2 linked regions of the Pelodiscus sinensis genome follow. The protein of the gene in region 1 purifies or fractionates together with the protein of each later gene. This does not show direct contact. Links are inferred from orthologs where the notes say so. Each region holds a gene or a part of one and is shown in the gene's direction. Other genes may lie near its edges. The genes, in order: U2SURP and SNRPA1.

Region 1 (7,491 bases):
CCCCCTTTTAGTTCCCTTCCAACCTTCCATTTGGCTTCTTATCCCATTCCTGTTTCGTTTTTATGTTCAGTAGAATCGCTATGGATAGTAATTCCATGCTCCAATAATGAGAAATTAGCAGTAGGGATATATTACCGACCACCTGATCAGGACAGCGATACTGACATCGAAATGCTGAGGGAGATTAGAGAGGCTACCAAAATAAAGAACTCTATAATAATGGGGGATTTTAATTACCCCCATATTGACTGGATACATGTCACCTCAGAAAGAGAAGCGGAGATAAAATTTCTCAATGACTTAAATGACTGCTTCTTGGATCAGCTGGTGCAGGAACCCACAAGGGGAGAGGCAATTCTTGATTTAGTCCTGAGTGGAGCTCAGGATCAGGTCCAGGAAATAACCGTTACAGGACCGCTTGGGAATAGTGACCATAATATAATAACATTCAACATTCCTGTGGTGGGAAGAACACCTCAGCAGTCCAGCACCCTGGCATTTAATTTCAAAAAGGGGAATTACACAAAAATGAGGGGGTTAGTTAAACAGAAATTAAAAAGCACAGTGACTAGAGCCAAATCCCTGCAAGCTGCATGGAAACTTTTAAAAGACACCATAATAGAGGCCCAACTTAAATGTATACCCCAAATTAAAAAACATAGCAAGAGACCTAAAAAAGAGTCACCGTGGCCTAACCACCATGTAAAAGAAGCAGTGAGGGACAAAAGGGTATCTTTTAAGAAGTGGAAGTCCAATCCTAGTGAGATAAATAGAAAGGAACATAAACACTGTCAAATCAAGTGTAAAAATGTAATAAGAAAAGCAAAAAAATATTTTGAGGAACAGCTAGCCAAAAACTCAAAAAGAAATAACAAAATGTTTTTTAAGTACATTAGAAGCAGGAAGCCTGCTAAAAAACCTGTGGGTCCCCTAGATGATCGAACTATAAAAGGAGCAATCAAGGACGATAAAGCCATTGCGGAGAAACTAAATGATTTCTTTGCTTCAGTCTTCTCGACTGAGGATGTTGGGGAGATTCCCAAATCTGCATTGTCCTTTGTGGGTGATGAATCTGAGGAACTGTCCCGGATTGAAGTGTCATTAGAGGAGGTTTTGGAACAAATAGAAAAACTTAATGTTAACAAATCTCCGGGACCGGATGGTATTCATCCAAGGGTTCTAAAAGAACTCAAATGGGAAATTGCTGAACTATTATCTGTGGTTTGTAACCTATCCCTTGAATTGGCTTCCGTACCTAATGACTGCAAGATAGCCAACATGACACCAATATTTAAAAAGGGCTCTAGAGGCGATCCTGGCAATTACAGACCGGTAAGTCTAACTTCAGTACCGGGCAAATTAGTCGAAATAATAGTAAAGAATAAAATTGTGAAGCATGTAGAAGAACATAATTTGTTGGACAAAAGTCAACATGGTTTCTGTAAAGGGAAATCCTGTCTTACTAATCTTTAGAGTTCTTTGAAGGGGTTAACAAACATGCGGACAAGGGGGATCCAGTAGATATAGTATACTTAGATTTTCAGAAAGCCTTTGACAAAGTCCCTCACCAAAGGCTCTTGTGTAAATTACATGGCCATGGGATAAGAGGGAAGGTCCTTTCTTGGATTGAGAACTGGTTAAAAGACAGGAAACAAAGGGTAGGAATAAATTGTACATTTTCAGAATGGAGAGGGGTAACTAGTGGTGTCCCCCAAGGGTCAGTCCTAGGACCAATCCTGTTCAACTTATTCATAAATGATCTGGAGAAAGGGGTAAGCAGTGAGGTGGTAAAGTTTGCAGATGATACCAAACTGTTTAGGATAGTCAAGACAGAAGCAGACTGTGAGGGACTCCAAGAAGATCTCACCAAACTGAGTGATTGGGCAACAAAATGGCAAATGATATTTAATGTGGATAAGTGTAAAGTAATGCACATCAGGAAAAATAACCCCAACTATATGTACAGTATGATGGGGGATAATTTGGCTATGACAAATCAGGAAAGAGATCTTGGAGTTATTGTGGACAGTTCTCTGAAAACTTCCACACAGTGTGCAGCGGCAGTCAAAAAGGCAAATAGGATGCTAGGAATTATTAAGAAAGGGATAGAAAATAAGACCCAGAATATCTTATTGCCCCTTTATAAAACTATGGTACGCTCACATCTTGAATACTGTGTACAGATGTGGTCTCCTCACCTCAAAAAAGATATTTTGGCCTTGGAAAGGGTTCAGAAAAGGGCAACTACAATGATTAGGGGTTTGGAATGGGTCCCATATGAGGAGAGGTTAAAGCAAGTGGGACTTTTCAGTTTAGAAAAGAGGAGACAGAGGGGGGATATGATAGAGGTCTATAAAATCATGAGTGGTGTGGAGAGGGTGGATAAAGAAAAGTTATTTATTAGTTCCCTAAATAGAAGAACTAGAGGACATCAAATGAAATTAATGGGTAGCAGGTTTAAAACTAATACAAGAAAGTTCTTCACACAGCGTGTAGTCAACCTGTGGAACTCCTTGCCAGAGGAGGCTGTGAAGGCTAGGATTATAATAGAGTTTAAAGAGAAGCTAGATAATTTCATGGAGGTTAGGTCCATAAAAGGCTATTAGCCAGGTGATAAAATGGTGTCCTTGTTCTCTGTTTGTCAGAGGCTGGAGAGGGATGGCAGGAGACAAATCGCTTGCCTCTCTGGGTCACCTGGTGCTGGCCACTGTCGGCAGACAGGATATTGGGCTAGATGGACCTTTGGTCTGACCCAGTACGGCCGTTCTTATGCCCTTTATGCTGTCATCCATTTTCTTCTTTTTGCTATTTTTGTCCCTGCCTTCTTCCCTAAATATTAAGGTGCATTTGGCAAAGTCTCTTGTGTCCTTTCTCCACCCTGCTAGGGGTGTGCAGCAGCTAGAGAGACATGATGACTGTTTTAAAACAGCTGGTGTGTCTCTCTAGCCGCGGAGGGTGAGAGGTGGGAGGACTTCACATGCTCCCCACCCCCACTCCCTGTTTGGCTTGGGGAGCAGCAGGGCGGCTGCGGGCTGGATCCACTGACTTGGAAGACCGGATCCAGCCCACATAGCGCCCTTTGCCCACCACTGGGCTAGAGAGACAGGCTGACTGCTTTAAACAGCCAGTGTTGTCTCTCCGGCAGCTGCACACTCTTGTGCGGCGAGGAGACTTCTCGGTGAGGCAGCATTGCGGCAGGTGAGGGGGGCAGGCTGGAGCTGATACATGTGCTGCCTTTCAAGCCAGCTCCCTATGTGCATGGGCTTCTGCGGACCCAACTCTGCAGGAGGCAGTGAGGAGGGACAGGCAGGAGCTGGGGGGAGCAGGCTTAAAAGCCATTTCACCTCAGCACCAGATCCATGGTGCCGCCTGCCCCGCCTCCTGAACTGCAGGGGAGGCTGCTGCCAGCGGCGGATTTAGGGCAGGGCGAGCGGGGCGGCTGCCCCGGGCCCCGTGCTTGAGCCTTGGCACGACAGTGCATGTGCTGGGTCAAAGGGGGGGGGGGCTGCGAAATGTTGCTGCCCGTCCCCGTGGCACTCTCATCTGTCCCTGGCTGCTGCAAAGCAGCTTCTGCCTGTGGGGGTCTGAGCTCCCTGTGGAGGCTGCTCCACATCCTTCTGAGCAGCCTGTCCTCAGCGAGCCTGGGCCTGCAGCAGGCAGAAGCTGCTCCGAGGCAGCAGCCTCTGTCTGCAGGGAGCTCGGACCCTCCCACAGACAGGCTGCTGCCTCTGTATCAGAGGCAGCAGGGCGGCAGGCAGCCGGTGAGGTGAGCTGTTTTTTAAACTGGCTCCTCTTGTGAAGCAGCTCGGCCTCCCACCTGACCAAGAGGCAGCAGCGGCGGTGGCAGGGGGCGGGGCTGGGAGTGCCCTGGGACTTCCGAAGAGTCGGGTGTCGCTAAGTGTTCATGCGGTTACACAGCCCCTCGGCTACCGCCCCCGCCTCCAACCCCGCACTCTGACACCCCTGCCAGCGCTCGCCGCTGCCTATTTGCCACCCGCGTGGAGCCGGCGTGACCCCGGCGCTAAACTCGCGTCAGTGGCGAGGGAGCCAGGCCCCCTGGAGCCAGCCACTCGGGGCGGGGCTGGCAGCGCGCGCAGCACCCTCCCTCCTGCCGCGCGGCGCCAGCCGCAGCAGCCCGGCCGACCGAATCGCTGGCTCAGCCATCGATTCGCCGCACTTCCTCCTCCCCGCCTCAGCGCGGCCAGTCTCCTTCCCTTTACAATCGGTGCTCGATTCTTCGCCGCCAGGGCTGAGCTGGGGAGAGAAGCAAGATGGCGGACAAAACGCCAGGCGGGTCGCAGAAAGCCAGTGCGAAGGTGAGGCCGCCCCGCGGGCCCTGCAAACGGCGCCGCTGCCTGGGCCCCGCGCGGGGCAGGGGCGGGAGCGGCATCCATGCCCCGGAGGCGTCAGGCCGTGCTGGGCGCTCGGACCCGGCCGCGCAGGCCGTGCGGCCTGCTCCGTCCCGCCCGTCCGCGGCGTTACTGCGGGCTGCTGGCGGCGGAATGGATGGGGCGGCGGGCAAGGGCTGGGGCAGGGAGGTCGGGCCCAGTGTTTCTCCTACTGCTTGTCCAGCATCGGGGTGCGTGTGTAAGGCCTGTGGGATGCGCCCCCCCCCCCCCCCACTGCACCATGAGCCCTCGGGTCCCTTCCCTGCACCCTCTGCTGGCACCGCGTCCCCCCTCCCGAGCGGGAATAGTCGTTGGGGCAGAGCGGGGCAAAGATGCAGCCTTGCTCCTCTGGGTTCGCCCCCTCTCAGCGCTGCATATTCGGGGGGTTGGGATCGGTGTGTCCCCCGTTACCTGGATACCTGTTAAAATAGCTTCTTTGCTCATTGGGATGGATTTTGCCTTATTTTTTGTTTCCCTGAAACAGTCTCAGTAGCTTTCCCGGGCCTTGCTTGAAAACATTATTTTTAAAGCGTCTGGCGCTGGTGATGAGTAGTTTTAAGTTTCAGTTCCAGATTGAAAACATTTTCCCTATTCTATCTGTTTTATGTTTTAATTATTTGTTATAATGTGTGTGTGTGTGGGGGGGGGGGGGGGTGAGGGCAAGCGATTCAGGTGTTCTTAGGCCATCTTCCCATTACCATTTTTGCCAGCAAAACTTAATGTTGCTCAAGGGTGTGAAAGTTTTGCCAGCTTAAATGGTAGTGTGCACCATTGGTGGGATAACTTTTCCTGATACGGCTACTGCTGCTCATTGATATGGTTTTATGTCAACTGAAGAGCTCTCATTCCCTTTGCCATAATGTGGCTACACAAGCCAGTGTATAGTGGCTCAACTGCATTGGTTCATCTGTATTGTAAGTTCACTAGTGTAGATGTAGCTAGAGACTCTGGAGAAATGGACAGACTTGTCCTAAATCCCATGCATTTTTCTAGTGTCTGATTCCTAATCCTGTGCTCAGATTACTAGGCATTTCCCCCACTAGATTGTTTGGCTTGACAACTTTTCAGTCATTCTTCCTCTCTGTTCCTAATTTCCATGGCTAACTTTATTTCCTGTAGTACTGGAATAAGCCAGTATTTTCTGTAGTCCTGCAGCAGCATTTGCACAGATCCTGTGTGATTAGATAGCCATTGCACTTGTACGATTGAGGCCTAAATACTCTATCCTCTTGACTCAAAAGTCTAGAAATGTTTGGAATTGATATTTTTGGGGTAGTGGTTGGAAATTAGGAAGAGGTTGTTGTTATATTAAGTCTCAGTCTGGCAGACACATGCATGTGCTTAACTTGATTCACATAGGTGGTCCCATTTTTTAGTTTGGAAATATTTATACCTGTTTGGCTATTGTTTCCCAATTGTGGATTAAAAACTTGTAGTTAACTTGAGGTTGATTTTTCTGTTTCCATGGCCTGGTTCTCTCTTTTGATTGAAAACATTGATGTTTTTCTTTGGTGAGCCAAGTTTATTTTCCATAATTAACATTACCAAGGATAGCGAGGTCCAAGTCAAAACTGTATGGTAGTCACTGGTTAGTTTGTTTAAAGCCACACACAAAATCTGCATTTGGCAAGAGTGGATGCTTAGGAGTAATATCCAGATGTGGGAGAACCATTAATTCCTGCGTCTCCCACAAAAGTGAGGAATTAGTAAGGACTCTAGTCTACTCCCAGGGTTGAATGCTTTTTAGCATCTGACAATGATCCTAGACATAGTTAAGCAATAAATTATCTCATACTCAATAATGTTGCTGGTATTAGGCTATGACTACACTGTGGACCTTATAATGGTACGGCTGTACCATTATAAAGCTGCACTGCTGTCAGGTCTCCTGTGTAGCTGCTCTATGCTGGCAGGAGATTAAAGCACCCTCCCAATAAACAGGAGTAGATAGGTCAGCGTGAGAGTATCTTCTAGTGACATAGAGCTGTGTACACTAGTGCTTGTCTTGGTGAAACATTGGTTTGGGGTGTATTTTTTCACAAAAGTAATTAACAAAAATGTTGCTTAGAAGAGTGCAATTGTAGACAAAGCCTTAGAATGGCTAGCCAGTAACTGTATGTAGTTCTTCCTAGCAGCTGACTATTCAGCCTTCCCAGGAGGAAGGGTCATGGACCAGGAATAGGATATGGGACTTGGAGGACCAGGATTCTGTTTCCATTGCTACTTAATACATAAATTATTTAACCTCTTAACTTTTCAGATGAAATGTGCTATATGTACGTATTAAATACCTATTGTCTCCCATCACTGGAATGTTGTTTTTTTCCATTGATCCATATCACTTATAGACCTGAATAAGAATTAGTAGTAGTTTCTTCTGAAACACATGACATTTGAATTTATTACTGTACTGCTCTACTCCTAACAGTGTAAAAGCAAGTGCTGCTGTGAAAAGTTGGCTTAGCAACTGGAGGAACTTTGTTTTAAAGTGCCTGGATAATGATTTACACCAATTCAGAGGAGTGACTTTGTTCACAACGTATCAGCAAGCGTGCACTGAGTAGATCAGTGGTGGGTAAACTGCAGCTCAGGAACTGTATGCGGCCCACTGGGGCTCCACTTGTGGCCTGAAGACCCTTTATCTGCTCCCTTCCCCCACATGCTTCATACACTGGAGCCCCATATTTTCTATTCTTCTCACCTCTTTCTCTCTCTCCCTCCCAGCACTTTCTGAAATGTGAATCACCTGATTGACGCTTCATCTCTGCTCCTTTTCCTTCCTCTCCCTGCTTTTTTTGCAGCTGTTCAATTTCTGGGAGGGAGTGGGAGGAGCACATATGGAACACAGATCAGGCGATTTGCACACCCCGAAAGTGCTGGGAAGGAGGGAAGAGTTGTAGGAAGTAGGGATGTCATTGTGTGAACAACTGCATGATTAACCGATAAGCCTGGGCTACAGTAGCCAGTACTAGAGGCTGCAAGGAGGGAGGGGAGCTGTTGCTGGTGAGGAGCTGGCTTTAAGCAGGCTCCCCACGAGCACTGGTGGATCTGCCTGTATTCCTCTTCTCCCCCCCCCCCCCCATGCTGCTGCCTCTGATAGAGA
Region 2 (7,664 bases), on another chromosome or scaffold:
CATGTTTCTAGACCTTAGATCATTCTTGTGGCTGTTTTTTAAACTCTTTCCAAATTGTTGTCATCTGTTTAAAAGTGTGGACACCAGAACTGGACCTTGTCCTTGTGGGGTTTAGGGATGCCCCAGGCTGTGATAACAATACCTCCCTCTTTCTGAGCAATATAGTTCTCTGCTTATATATCCAAGGATCACATTGGCTTATTTAACCATCACATCACAAGTAGGGATGTCAACAGTTAACCGGTTAATCGGCTAGCAACATCCCGCAGTTAACCAGTAATCTGGCTGGGTTGGAGCAGCTCCCTGCTTGCCTGTGGTGCAGCACAGTGGGCCCAGCCGGGCTGGAGTGACCCCCACTGCCTGTGGTGGGCCTGGCCTGGTTGAAGCAGCCCCATGCCTGTGCCATACCGCAGGCGGGGGCCACTATAACCTGGCCAGGCCCTCTGCCTCACTCCAGCTCGGCCGGCTCACCATGCCACGAGTCAAGAGCCACTCCAGCCCAGCTAGGCCCACCATGCCACAGGTGAAGGACTACTCCAGCCTGGCCAGGCCTGCTGTGCCATTCCACAGGTGGGGGTCACTCTAACATGGCCAGGCCCACTGCAGCTCGGCTGGGCTCACCACACTGCAGGTCAAGAGCCACTCCAGCTTGGCTAGGCTCACGGTGCCACAGGTGAAGAACCACTCCTGCCTGGCCAGGCCTGCTGTGCCATACCATGGGCAGGAGGCCATTTAAGTGGTTAACTGATTAAACAGGATTTTACATCCCTATATCACAGTACTAGTTCATGGTCAATTGGTTATCCATCATGACACCCAAGTCCTTTCCTACACCACTGCTTTCCAAAATACAATTCCAAAATCCATTTCCCTGTATAAGATAAATGTTTGCCCATCCTCATTTTGCAGGCTGAGAAACTCAGTTTTGGAGAACTCACCTTAAGACACTTTGGAGTTATTCTATGCGGTAAAAGTTCTTACACCACACTTATAAAGTCTGAGCACCATCCATAAAGCATTAGGCAACCTGACTAATATATGTCCTGTTTGTTCTCCCATCGGGGCCAAGTGTATGCAGTGGAGTGTTTGTTTTTCTGGATTCTTATATACACATCTGTCTATATGTTTGTTACAGCAATGCACATGGTGAAGTTGGTGATTAGTGTCTGGAGGAATTCACTCTATAGTTTTGTGCGGGCTCTCAAGAAAGCTCTGTCTATGGGTGTGTCTAGACTACTGAGTTTTGTCGACAAAAGTCCACTTTTGTCGACAAAACTATACCAGCGTCTACACTACCGATGAGTTCTGTCGACATAACGTCGACAGAACTCAGCAGTTTTGTCGACGCTGGTATACCTCATTTTACGAGGCATAACACCTTCTGTCGACAGAGTTCTGTCGACAGAAGGTGTTATTGCCTGTAGGGTTGCGTCTAGACTACAGGGTTCTGTCGACAAAGCAGCTTGCTTTTTCGACAGAACTCAATGTGTCTGGACGCTCTTTGTCGACAGAAGTTTTGTCAACAGATACTGTCGACAAAACTTCTGTCGACAAAACCTGGTAGTCTAGACGTACCCTATGTCTACACTACAAGGTTTTTGCGCAAAACAATACAGTACATTGACAGGAGAGAGGGCTTTTGCCGGTAGAGTTATTCCTCTCCCCATGAGGAATAACTCCTTTTTGCGCTACAGCTCTTGTGCCAAAAGGCACGTGTGGATGCTCCACAGAGGTTTCTTGAGCAAAAAGAGCCTATCAGAAAAAGCACGGGTGCTCTGGTGGCCATTCTGTTAATGGCAATCAGAGCTTTCTTGTGCCAGATCATCCATGCAGTGTGGATGCTCTCTTGCGCAAAAGCACATTGCTTTTGCAGTGTGCTTTTGAGGTGTGGATGTGTTTTTGCACAAGAAGTTTTTGCGGAAGATCTCTTCCACAAAAAGCTTCTTGTGCAAAAACCCTGCAGTGTAGACAAAGACTCTGTGTCCTGTATTTCAGGATAATTTTACAAAGTGCTGATCATCTACAACTTCTACTGAAGTCAACAAGAGGTTCAGCTGCTCAACCCCTCATGCCACTCTCAGGTTGGACACCTAAAAACTAAGCCACACAGTCCAGATGGCCATTGTTCATCATGTTGTTGCCCATAACTTAGCCAAGTTCACACAGCAAAACCTGTAACTGGTTGGGAGAGTCCAAACCTTCTCAGCTCCATGTCTGCAATTTAGCCACAGTCAAAGCTTTCACACCTCCCCAATGATGTGAAACTCCCCCGATGGATTCTGTGGGTTTTCAGCCCTCCCTCCTGGATGTTTTAATTTGCTGTTTCTTCAAGGCTCATTCCTTCTTCTAGCTCTCTTCCTTCCTCCCTGCCTCTGCAGCACAGGGCTGGCTAGTGCTAACTGAGCCACACAAAGACAGCATCACTAGCTGCCTTAGGATGGGACCATATGTTGGATTAGTCCTTAATCAGAATGTTCATCTTATTTGAAAGAAGCCCCAGTGTAATGAATCTACCACGAAAATAAAGACCAAGAATCTTGAATTTCTGGGCTTTCATTGACTAATTATTGGGACTTCAAAGACAGCACTGACAAAATGAAATGCTCTGCGCACTACCTGTCCCTTCTGCTCTCATCTATCCACTCATAGACTCATAGACTCATAGACTCCAAGGTCAGAAGGGACCACTATGATCATCCAGTCTGACCCCCCACACAGTGCAGGCCACAAAATCTCACCCACCCCTCCTAGAATAATCCTCTCACCTATATCTCAGATATTGAAGCCTTCAAATACTTTGAAGACCCCAAGATGCAGAGATCCTCTAGCTGTGATCTGTACCCCATGCTCCCTCAGCTTGGCTTCTGCTGACATCATTTGGGCTGCTTTTGATGGAATAGGTCCATCAATGCCTATTAACCAGGATGGGTAGGAATAGTGTCCCTAGACTCTGTTTATCAGAGGCTAGGAATGGGTGACGGGGAGGGATCACTTGATGATACCCTGTTCTGTTCAATCCTTCTGGGGCATCTGGCATTGGCCACTGTAGAAAACTGGGCTGGACGGACCTTTTGTCTAACATAGTACGGCCGTTCTTATGTACATTACAAAAATAAAGGCTATTTAGGGAGGTGAGATTTTAGGAGGGAGGAAATAAGGAAGGAAAATAAAGTAGCTTTTATGGATTAGGTGTGGCTACCTGGTTATATCCATGAGTTTATATGTAAGATGCCCCTGTCTCTATACTGGTTATTTCCTCTTTGTGAGCACAAAACTTTACACTTAACAGGACAAAATCTTGCCTCCTATCCTGTATTCCCCACTGAGCTCATTTCTCCATCTCCGTTTGCAGTTTGGTTCGCTTGACTGGCCTATTTTCCACACCTCCAATTTTAAAGATCATCTGTAAAATTGGTCATTGTTGCATTTACAGGAAAGACACCTGACAAAAAAATACACAATGCATCCTCAGGAGTTCAGATGACTGTGTATTGAATGTGGTGGGCCAAAAAAGACTTCTGGAAATCTAATCAGGATGCAGGCCTACAGGTGGCCCTCCTAGGCACTACTTCTGCAGAAAGCCTGATTGACAGAACCAGCTCAGACGGCTTTCAGGGAAAGTCATACAGAGCAGAGCTGTGCAGGGAGCATGATTAGCAGAGCGCTATGGCTATGGCCCTGTGGCTCTGATTGTTGTCTGTTTTGTGTGCATTGATTCTTTGGCAAACCTTCCCCCCTCGCTCCTCCTCTGTTCTTAAATCTGAAGCGTCAGTTTTATATGTGTTCACTTTTTTTTTAATTGTATCCTTTGGTATATAGGGTCATGCCAATTTTCTTCCACAATTTGATCTGAGGAAGTGGGTCTGGCCCACGAAAGCTCATCCCCTAATAAACCATCTTGTGAGTCTTTAAAGTGCTGCACAGTCCTGTCTTGTGTTTCCCCAGCTCTCACATTTCACTGGTGTGACTTGAAATTACAATCAGAGAGCAGAGCTCCCGTCTCCTTCCGCCTACTGTTAATCACAGCAGCACCTTGCACTGACCAGGGCCCCCACAGAGCCCCGTGTCCCTGCCTTACGAGGGGCACCTCATAGACTTTAAGGTCAGAAGGGACCATTATGATCATCTAGTCTGAGTGCTTTTGCGGAAAAGCATCCTGCCAATCTAGACGCGATTTTTCCAAAAATGCTTTTAACGGAAAACTTTTCCATTAAAAGCATTTTCGGAAAATCATGCCCGTGTAGACGTAGCCGATATCTAGTTTAATCTTGAAGCCAGATCGATCTTTTGCCCCCACTACTGCCCTTCTATGCACCTGCCCCACAGAGTGCAGGGGGAGCTGGCTGTATGGGCAGTGGAAGGGGGGAGCTGACCCTGTGGCTGGGGGAAGGGCAGGTGTGTCTGGGGGGGGGGGGGAACTCCTCGCTGAAGGGCGGGGGAAGCCGCCTCCGTCGCTATGGCGCCGGGAGGCGGGGCCAAGAGGCGGCGCTCCGAGGCTCGGCGCTCGGCCGCTCGGCCTGTGCCGCTCGGGGTCTCGGCGCTCGGCTCGCTCGGCGCTGTAGGCCCGGCGGGACGCGTGCGGGGCGCGCGGCAGGATGGTGAAGCTCACGGCGGAGCTGATCGAGCAGGCGGCGCAGTACACCAACGCCGTGCGCGACCGCGAGCTGGATCTGCGCGGTGAGGCCCGCCCGGGAGCCGCGCGCCGGGGAGGGGCCTCGGGTCGCGGCCGAGCGTGGGGTGGGCCGGGTGTGTGTGGGGGGGCGGGAGCGTGGGTCAGGTGGGGGGGTGGGTCAGGTGTGGGGCGAGGGCACGGGGGGTGGGTCAGGCGGGGGGCGGGAGTATGTGGGGGGTGGGTCAGGTGTGGGGCGGGGGCGGGAGTATGTGGGGGGATGGGTCAGGTGTGGGGCGGGGGCGGGAGTATGTGGGGGGGTGGGTCAGGTGTGGGGCGGGGGCGGGAGTATGTGGGGGATGGGTCAGGTGTGGGGCGGGGGCGGGAGTATGTGGGGGGGTGGGTCAGGTGGGGGGCGGGAGTGTGGGGCGGAGGCACGGGGGGGTGGGTCAGGCGGGGGGCGGGAGTATGTGGGGGGATGGGTCAGGTGTGGGGCGGGAGCGGGAGTATGTGGGGGGATGGATCAGGTGTGGGGCGGGAGTATGTGGGGGGGTGGGTCAGGTGTGGGGTGGGGACGGGAGTGTGTGGGGCGGGAGTATGTGGGGGGTGGGTCAGGTGTGGGGCGGGAGTATGTGGGGGGAGTTGTAGCGGGGCGGGTTTTGTGCTGACAATTTTACATCTTGGGTACCTGGCTAATGGCCTAGTCCAGGGGTTCCCAAACTGGGGGTGTGTGCAGAAATTCCAGGGGGCCGTGCGAAGTGACCCAGCCGCCCCCGCCAGTCAAGTTTTGCTGCCCTGTTCAGTTTTTTTCCCCCCTCAACAAGTTTTACTGCTATTTGGAGGGGGTGCGTGAGGGTTTTTCAAAAATCAAAAAGGGGGGCGTGATGCCAAAAAGTTTGGGAACCACTGGCCTAGTCGATACAATTAGTCGATAGGGCGGGTGTGCAGAGCCGCAGCGGGGATCACACCGGGAGCCGGCTGCAGCTGAGACGGAGTAGTCCTGGCTCGTGCCAGCTCCAGGAGCCACCTGTGCTGCAACTCTGCGTGTTAAATGTGGCAAGAGCTGCTGGGCTGTTGCTCCATTTAAAATGCAGAGGCGCAGTATCGGACCAGCACAAGTTGGGACTGCTCGGGCCTGCCTGGTGCTGAATCCAGCAGCCTCTGTTGGAGGTGAACGGCCCTGGTTCTCATAGAGGCTGTGGAGTGGGGTGGAGGGAGGCGGGGCACGACACAGCAGGGTGCACTGGGTGCATAGGGACTCAGGCAGTCCCCACTCGCCCTGTGTTCCCACTGCGGCGCTATGGGGCTCTTGCTACATTTCACAGGCTGAAGTGCCGCAGTGGGAGCCAGGGTGAGTGCGACTCCTTCAGTCCCTACTCGTGCTGTTTCCCCACCGTGTTTCTGCCCCCCAGAGATGGTGCTGTGAGGAACCAGCTTTTAAGCCAGCTCCCCCCAACACCAGCTCCTACTTTGCTGCCCCCCCCTCCACTGCCTCTCCTAGAGGCAGCAAGTGGGGGGGAATTGAAGCCAGTTTGCCTCAGCACCATTCTCTGCGGGGGGGTGGGGGGCAGGTGAGGTAGAGGCACAGCGGGAAACGGTAGAATCTCTGCTCACACCACTTCTGCTGCAATTCTGTTTTTGAAATGGCTCAGATGCTGCAGTGTGTGCAGGGCCAGCGGGTGAGTGCTCTGGTCCAGCGCTCCCTGGTGGGCTTCCGCTTTTGAACTGGACTCTTGCTTCAGTTCAAAGGCAAAGGCACCCTTATAAACTAATCAAATAGTAGATGGAAATCCCATCAACTATTCAATTAATTAATTAATCTAAATTTAACATCCCTAATCACTACTTGACTACCTGATAAGCTTTTTGCTTATTGGATACTCAACTAGTTGCTGACATCCCTAGCTTGTGCTGGGGTGGAAGAGTGGGGGAAGTAGGGAGGCTTCACTCTGGATTCATGAGGGAGACAGTGATGTCACATGCTGCTTCTAACCTGGGAATCCTGCATCCCTTGTTGAATGGCCCAACTCCACCCCAATGCCCCCTTTCCTCCCCCCCGACTCTATTTAACCTTGGTCTGACGCTTTCCCCGCAGGGTACAAAATCCCCGTCATTGAGAACCTGGGTGCCACCTTGGACCAATTCGATGCCATTGATTTCTCCGACAATGAGATCCGCAAGTTGGATGGGTTCCCTCTGCTGAAGAGGCTGAAAACGTTACTGATGAATAACAACAGGATATGGTAGGTGGCACGTGGAAGCTTTCAGCATTGGCTGTTTGCTTGTATCATTGCAGTTCTGCAACTTACATACGATCAGGGCTTGACAAGTGGCAGCGAGCCCCTGTTTGGCGCACTGCGCATGCGCAGACCGTGCTACGCATACGCTGATTGTGCTGCAGCGCCGTGCCAGGCTAAAATCTACTCGCCATGGGCGAGTAGATTGCCGTAATTGTCGAGCTCTGCATATGATCATTGATTTGTTTTAATGGAAGAATGCAGCATGTTACAGTTATGGAGAACCATTGTAGTTTGCTTCATTTTCAGTGTGCTTTATGAGCACCAATCCTTTTAAATCCTGGATAACGTCAATAAATATTATCCTCATTTTATGGACAGGAAAACCAAGGCTTGGGCTTTGTGATTTGGTCAAGTGTGCCGAGATTCAGTAGTTTTTTGTTTATCATTCCTACATTCAGATCAGTGAAAAATGTAAACATGATCAGGAAGTTTGGGACAGTGGTAAGTGAGGGTACAAGTCAGAGGTAATTACAGGAACAAAATAAAGATTTAAACTGTTTTACTTGATGCAAGGTGAATGATTCCCAAACCAAGTGACCCCTTGTACATGTATTGCATTTGAGGGTTAAAATGTGTCTGCAGGTTTTTATTAACATTTATTACCAACATAAATCAGACTGATTATTTTTAAATATTAATTTTAGTCGGATTGGTGAGGGACTCGAACAGGCTTTACCCAACCTTCAGGAGATCATTCTTACCAACAATAGCATTGTGGAGCTGGTAAGTTACTACTAAAAAATAGATCAACCAGT

What was found.
Region 2: the proteins of U2SURP (region 1) and SNRPA1 purify together in Homo sapiens (affinity purification with mass spectrometry; 5 studies listed by BioGRID and IntAct, with this or other methods). This does not show direct contact. The link is inferred for Pelodiscus sinensis from reciprocal best matches to the Homo sapiens genes U2SURP and SNRPA1.

The regions. Positions count from the first base shown.
Region 1 is NC_134720.1:21,752,714-21,760,204, forward strand, and holds the start of U2SURP (U2 snRNP-associated SURP motif-containing protein), read left to right. Parts: upstream 1-4,138; 5' UTR 4,139-4,271; coding exon 4,272-4,316; intron 4,317-7,491.
Region 2 is NC_134724.1:7,056,512-7,064,175, forward strand, and holds the start of SNRPA1 (U2 small nuclear ribonucleoprotein A'), read left to right. Parts: upstream 1-4,493; 5' UTR 4,494-4,595; coding exon 4,596-4,677; intron 4,678-6,704; coding exon 6,705-6,852; intron 6,853-7,553; coding exon 7,554-7,632; intron 7,633-7,664. UniProt on the Homo sapiens protein: Involved in pre-mRNA splicing as component of the spliceosome. Associated with sn-RNP U2, where it contributes to the binding of stem loop IV of U2 snRNA.